Drosophila melanogaster: one gene and its partner. The protein of the gene in region 1 interacts with the protein of each later gene in a pairwise test. Each region holds a gene or a part of one and is shown on either strand. Other genes may lie near its edges.

Region 1 (3,754 bases):
CCTTCTGAACATGGAAGACGATCTGGTCTCCAAATTGGAAGGCTACGCTGAAAAGTTATCTTATAAAGCCAATACCATCAGATGGTGAGTCAAATTGGTCAGCATTTCTAAAAAGGGCTCATAAGGCTTACTTAAAGGGGAATTCAACAGATGAGGGAACAGCTCGATAAGAGCAAGAAGGAGCAGTCCTTCGATTTATTTAACAGGTACTCCTTCATTCGTCACATGCAGGCGGATTGGTTGATGTGGAAACAATATTTAGATAAACCCGTGATTCGTGGTTCGTCATTATGTTTTAATATATTCAAGCTATAACGCTGTCATCTCTGTAGATGAGTTGAATTATAAACAGATGGACAATTTGAGGATGCCCCAGGAACTTGACTTGTTTGACGCATCAGAAGCTATAAGAAGAATGCAAGCTACTTACGCGATGTTATCCAATGACATAGCGGAGGGTTTCCTAGATGGAGTTCAGTACACGTATGTAGAAGAACCATTTCCTCCTAGTTCTTATTTAATCTATATCAATCCAAGTTCAAAACTGTCACCTATCGATTGCCTTGCAATGGGTCGACATTTGATGAATCAATCGCGATGGACGATTGCCGAACAATGGATTCTGGCAGGTATTAAGGCCCAGGATCGGAAAGGTCCTCAAACAGAGATGATCTTACTGAGGGGGCCGACAAAAGCTGAACTCTTTAGAACACTCGGTAAAGTGCGGTTCGAAAGGAGTAAGTTCAAAAAAAGGCAAACTATGGTTTTACTAGGAATACATTTTTGTTGATTGTAGGAAATGAAGAAGGAGCCCTGAAAGCTTATCAAGCTGCTCTCAAGCATTCGCCCCATGATCTGGAAATATTCCAGGAGTATCAAAACTTGAAGAGGAGGGTTCTTACGTTATCACCAAGTGAACCGATCCGAGAGGAACCAAATGATGATATCGAAGAAATGGAGCTGCCGCCTTGCTGCAGTGGTCGTTGTGAAGGGCCGCGAAAACTCAACAGACTATATTGTGTGTATAATTGTGTAACTGCTCCTTTTCTGCGACTGGCCCCCATCAAAACGGAGATTCTCTCGGTTGACCCCTTCGTGATTCTTCTACACGACATGGTCTCTCACAAGGAGGGTGCTCTTATAAGATCTTCCAGTAAAAATCAGATCCTTCCTTCCGAAACAGTCAACGCCGCAAATGAGTTTGAAATTGCCAAGTTCCGCACTTCAAAGTCAGTTTGGTTTGACAGTGATGCCAACGAGGCGACTTTAAAGCTTACTCAACGTTTGGGTGAAGCAACTGGCTTGGATATGAAACATTCCGAGCCTTTTCAGGTCATCAACTATGGAATTGGAGGCGTCTTTGAAAGCCATTTTGACACGTCGCTTGCGGACGAGGATCGATTCGTTAACGGATATATTGATAGACTCGCCACAACACTTTTTTATGTCAGTCCTTCGTTTGACGCTAACAGTTTTCTTATAATCTTAGCGACTCTTCCAATTCCAGCTAAATGATGTTCCACAAGGCGGTGCCACCCATTTTCCGGGTCTAAATATCACTGTCTTTCCAAAGTTTGGAACTGTTCTCATGTGGTACAATCTGCACACGGAGGGTATGCTGCATGTGCGAACAATGCACACCGGCTGCCCAGTTATTGTGGGGTCCAAATGGGGTTAGTAGAGCTTGCATTTCTGGATCTTCTTGTGTTTTATAGGCTTCATTACCCTTCACAGTTGTCAGCAAGTGGATAGACGACAAAGGTCAAGAGTTCAGAAGGCCCTGCTTAAGATCGCGCTTAGACTCAAAATATTTGTCATCAATAGAGAAGATTATTATCTAGCCTTTGCCAATAATAATTAATAAGTATAAGGAAAAAACATATATGGGGAAACATTAAAGTTGAAGCGAAACAAACCCCAGACGAACTATGGAATAAGGTGAAACTAATGGGTGTATCAATATGATTATGTACAGAACGGTACAGAATGCTTTTTTTCTCTAGCTGGATGCACAGTGGGTTTCAGAATGCTGTTCTGGAGATTGGTGCTCCTGGGAATGCTCTATCTGTCCCTGAGTTTTGGCCAGTTGCGAGAGAACAATGCCCAACAGCGCTTTGCAAGATCTGTGGTGAATATGGATGATATGCTGAACTTAGAGGACGATCTTGTCTCAAATGTGGAAAAGCTGGCGGAAGCGCTTGCACGAAAAGCCAAAACCATTAAATGGTGAGTAATGCGTAGGTCCAAACAATCACAAGGATTTCTTAATGCAATGCAAGCTTTGAAGGGGCGTCTTCAAGATGATGAAAAGGCGACAGGAGTATAAGTCGTCTATGGAAATTTTTGCCAATCCGATTGACACCTTTTCCCTCATTCGTCACATGCAGTCGAACTGGTTGATGTGGCTATTGTACTTGGAAACGCCTGTTGGCCAAGGTTAGATAAATGGTTTGAGATATTTCTTATTACTTAAGAGTCTCTTTGCACAGAGGAATTGTTTTTTGTGGACTCAAGGATGCCCCTATTGCCAAAGTACTTTGACTTTATAGATGCCGCTGAAGGCATTAGAAAAATGCAGGCCACATACCAGATGTTTTCCTCAGATATAGCCAAAGGCTTACTAGATGGAGTGCAATACAAGTAGGTGATGATGTCATCCTAATCAAGAGGGAGTTTTTAATTAATGTAATTACTTAAAGCTCTTCTCTAAAACCCATCGATTGTCTCGCAATTGGTCTTCATCTGATGAATAACTCGCGTTGGTATGCTGCCGAGCAATGGATAAGTGCTAGCATTGAAGCCTATGATCAGAAAAGTTCTCAGACCGATATGGAGTTATTGAGGGGACCAAAACTGGCTGACCTGTGCAGAATACTGGGTCAAGTACAAATGAAGCAGAGTAAGTAGGAAGTGCATTCAAAAGGTTATTTGGGTTGGGCATGAGACTTCTATTGATTGCAGGAAATCATGAGGGTGCTCTTCAAGCCTATCAGGTTGCGCTAAAGCTTTCGCCTCATGACCCAGAAATATATGAGGAGTATCGGATCCTGGAAAAAAGAGATCTTACGTTGTCAGATATCGAACCGATTGAACAGGATAAGGACAACTCCCACGAAAGATTGGTTCTTCCGCCCTGTTGCAGTGGTCGCTGTCAAGTTCCCCGAAATCTGAGTAATCTATATTGTGTATATAACCATGTTACCTCCCCATTTCTGCAACTGGCCCCCATCAAAACGGAGATTCTATCGATTGATCCCTTCGTAGTGCTCCTCCATGACATGATCTCCCAAAAGGAGAGTACTCTCATTAGAACTTCGAGCAAGGAACACATGTTGCCGTCTGCCACAACTGACCCAGATGCATCCGATGACGAAACACAAGTCGACACATACCGCACCTCAAAGTCTGTTTGGTATAGCAGTGACTTCAACGATACGACCAAGAAGATAACCGAGCGCTTGGGAGATGCGACTGGGCTGGACATGAACTCTACGGAGTTCTATCAGGTCATTAACTACGGGCTAGGGGGTTTCTTCGAGACGCATTTGGACATGTTGCTGTCGGAAAAAAACAGGTTCAATGGAACCAGTGATCGTATTGCCACCACACTCTTCTATGTTTGTATCCTGAGTTTTGAAAAGTGGCTTGTAAAGATTAATTTCTTCTCCGTCAGCTTAATGAAGTTCGCCAGGGCGGCGGCACGTACTTCCCTCGACTAAATCTCACGGTATTCCCACAGCCAGGATCGGCCCTC
Region 2 (3,754 bases), on another chromosome or scaffold:
CTTTTATATACAAAACATTCATATCTATGAGAAGCCCATTCAAAACCATGTGTTAGAAAGTAGGCAACAAAAAAGTTACATTATTCTGAAATGCCAACAAACTAATAGTTCAAACTTTTAATAAACTTTAAATGGTCTTTAGTGGTTTGAGATTAAGAGTTTCGACTGCTCAACGAATTTTTTGTGAATTAGAACCATTACCGCGTCGGCCATTCAATGGGCATAATAAATTAGTCAGCTCGGGTACTTTGCCATGCGGTCCGGATCAGGTGACGAGCCTACCTCTATTTAGTTTGTATGTCCAGGGAAAGTGTGTACATACATATACAAAATGGAAACGGACTTGGTTGGAAATTTATGCAGCAACAAGGTCAATCGATAAATGCAGAGCCGAAAGGTACACCCAAAACCCAAGACGAGTTGCCAAGGTAAAACAAAAAATAACGGTAAACGACAGGTGCCGCAGCCGCTGACAGGCTCAGGTAAAGGTACAGGTGTGGTCGGGGCCGTTATTCCCTTGGATTTTCCTTCCTTCTTTGGTTATTTGGTCGCTCGAGGCAACGGCAATTAAAAGCAGTCAACTGTTTACGGCTTTGTTTAGTGGAAGTCGTTGGCCGAAGTAAGCTTTAAATATGCATGAGAACATGTTCAAACATGCACATGCACGCATTGCACGCAATGAATTGTTTATCGTTATCGATAACGTGGCATTGAAATACTTTTTGCGGTCTAGCCGCAGTTTACTTTTTGTTGTTTTTGAGCTGTTTACCACGAACGGAACGATCGCAAACGATCAAAACAACTTGTTATTCTACAATTGCGAAAAAAGTGCCATAGCAACGATAACAAAAACAAGAAACCGCAGAGAGAATTGCATTTACAGCCGTCATTGTTGTTTTTGCCACTTGCAATTGCACGCCCCTCGCTTTTGTTGTTGATTTGTATCTAATTACCGGAGACTCAAAAGTCAAATCATGAATGTTCGGAGAGAAAATTGAGAAAAAAGATACTTCACCTTACATGAAAGCGTATGACACTGCAACAGTAGCTATAAATTGCATCAGAATGTCGGACTGGAACAGTTTAAATATAAGTCTAGCCGATTTAAAAATACCTAAGGCTTACACCAGCGTTAATCAGCTGAGATTTCGGTTATTTTCCACATCAATGATTAAGCATTAATGCAAAAAAGAAAGTATTGAAAACAGGGGGATCAACCAGACGCAAAAAGTACACTTCGTTTTCAAAGTGATAAGCAGCATGCGCCCGTGTTTGGATTTTACCAGACAACATTTCTAGAACCGGGGTCATAAATGCCACACTTGTTATTTGTTTGTCGATAATTTTTGAGGTAGTCTTTCGATGTCTGGACCCAGAACCAGGTCTCCTGGCAATCTTCAAGTATGAAATGGTGCCAGAAAAGATAAGGAGCGATGGTCTCCTGCTGGAAAATCTGGTTCTAGGCGGTTCTTCTAAGCAGTCGAGTGTCGCGAGTTTAATGACAGCTCAACCATAATTGTTTCTATTGTTTATATATTTTGTGATAAGCAGACATTGTCGCATTCATGCAGCACATGTTGTGATCAAAGGTTCACGTTCCCCCAAAGCAATTCTCTCTCAATTGAAACTGATTAAATGAAAATTGAGCGTAATTCGCGGATAAAAATATAAGCCATAGAAGTTAGGGTATTCTGGAAGTCTTCTTGAACTGACCGAAAAACGAAAACGGTTTGGAGTTTGTAACAAAAACGCATTTCTCTCCCACTCGCACACTTGTAATGCTTATCGTTCGATCGCTACACTGAAAAGAAAGCAACTGCGTTTACATTTTGTAAGAATAAATTACAATTATTGATATTTCGATTTGATAATGTATTTAAATGTAAAATTTTAATCTAGTTTCTTGTGGCTTAAATTGTTATGCAAATCAGCTAGTTGGACAAAAATAGTTTCGTCTGGACATAAATTTTTCTTTCCGTGTGGTCGGTAATCATTTTTTCGTTCCGTGTGGTCAGTGTGAAAAGAGAGAACGACAAAAAGAGAGAAACCGCTTTTGTGTGCGTTGAGCGGGTTTTCTTAAAAGGGCGATCGACTGTTTTTGAGTCACTTGTGAAAAATCAGTCATCGCGAGCAGTTCGACTAAGGAAAACCCGCTGGCACACACAAACCGTAACCACTTATCAAACAAAAACAGCTGGCCCGCAACGCGAAGCGCGTGTGCAAAAAGAAACGAGAAAACATACACAACAAAAAAGCACAAGATATAAGAGATACACAAAAAGAGAAGCAGTGGAAAATTTTGGGCACCAAACACAGCCGAAGCTTTTACGCCAAACGTTAAACGAAAAGCCAAAACTTAAACCGCTTCCAAAAAACACAACGTGTTCGCCGGTCGAGATGAGCGGTTCCGTATTGAGTTTGGCGCGTCCTGCAGCAGCCACAAATGGCCATAATCTGCTGACCAAACAGCTGAATTGCAATGGCAATGGCACCACCGGTGGCGCGGCGAAAACCACTGTGGCCTCGGCCATAACACCGCCCAAGCAGCCCCAGTTGGCGGCCAAGGTCATCCAGCAGTCGCAGATCGTCTGTTTCGATGTGGACTCCACGGTGATTTGCGAGGAGGGCATCGACGAACTGGCCGAATATTGTGGCAAGGGGAGCGAGGTGGCTCGCGTTACCAAGGAGGCGATGGGCGGTGCCATGACCTTCCAGGATGCCCTCAAAATTCGCTTGAACATCATACGGCCGACACAGCAGCAAGTGAGGGATTTCATCCAGGAGCGACCCAGTACACTGAGCAAAAACGTGAAGCGTTTCGTCAGCCATTTGAAGGCGGAGGGAAAACAGGTTTACTTGATCTCCGGCGGATTCGATTGCCTAATTGCGCCCGTGGCCAATGAATTGGGTATTCCCCTGAAAAACGTCTATGCCAACAAGATGCTGTTCGATTATTTGGGCGAATACGATAGCTTTGATATCAACCAGCCCACTTCGCGTTCCGGCGGAAAGGCAGAGGCTATCGCCCTGATAAGGAAGGAGAATAGCGACGATTCCCTAATCACCATGATCGGCGATGGAGCCACCGATCTGGAGGCCGTACCGCCAGCCAACTACTTTATAGGTTTCGGTGGCAATGTCGTGCGGCCGGAGGTCTATCGCCGTGCACAGTATTACGTAACGGATTTTGAGCAGCTGATGGGGCAGTGAGATACGTATACGTAAGGCGGTGGGGGAGTGGCGAATTTAGTATTTGAAATCAACGTGTTATAGCTCGTAGTGATGCACATGTTTATGCCCAAGTATGTGTGTAATAATATGTACGTTAGTTCGTAATTAAACAATAATAAAAAGCGATAGTAATAAATGGAAAACGAACAAGTGAAATCAACTTTGTTACTGTTAACTTAACAGAATATGTTAAGCGCGCACTGTTAGTGAATCAGCAGAAGTTGTAAAAATACAGGGTGCGCCCTTATGCTAATGAACAGTTCACGCTTTAGCATCCAACTGTAAGCAATTTATTTAATTTAAAGAAATTTCATGCACATAAAATATGTATAAAAATAAATTTCTGTATTTATATGTTTATGGCGAACAAAAACGAAAAATACAACAAAAGTTTAAATAAAACATTCATTTTTCTATGGAATAGTATGTTAAATACTTTATTTAAATTTTTGATTGTAGGTACCAATTAGGTAAAACCAATTAAAGCCTAAATGTTTTAAATGCAGCCTTGCAGAGCTATTAG

What was found. The genes of interacting proteins can lie anywhere in the genome.
Region 2: the proteins of PH4alphaNE2 (region 1) and aay interact in a two-hybrid assay, tested with the Drosophila melanogaster proteins (one large-scale study listed by BioGRID).

The regions. Positions count from the first base shown.
Region 1 is NT_033777.3:30,510,483-30,514,236, reverse strand, and holds the start of PH4alphaNE2 (prolyl-4-hydroxylase-alpha NE2), read left to right. Parts: upstream 1-2,022; 5' UTR 2,023-2,026; coding exon 2,027-2,226; intron 2,227-2,287; coding exon 2,288-2,436; intron 2,437-2,489; coding exon 2,490-2,640; intron 2,641-2,699; coding exon 2,700-2,899; intron 2,900-2,961; coding exon 2,962-3,617; intron 3,618-3,673; coding exon 3,674-3,754. Other genes in the region: CG31524 (uncharacterized protein), read left to right, coding at 1-84, 138-280, 333-483, 538-737, 797-1,446, 1,508-1,673, 1,735-1,841.
Region 2 is NT_037436.4:9,421,153-9,424,906, forward strand, and holds aay (astray), read left to right. Parts: upstream 1-2,100; 5' UTR 2,101-2,397; coding exon 2,398-3,210; 3' UTR 3,211-3,629; downstream 3,630-3,754. UniProt on the Drosophila melanogaster protein: Catalyzes the last step in the biosynthesis of serine from carbohydrates. The reaction mechanism proceeds via the formation of a phosphoryl-enzyme intermediates.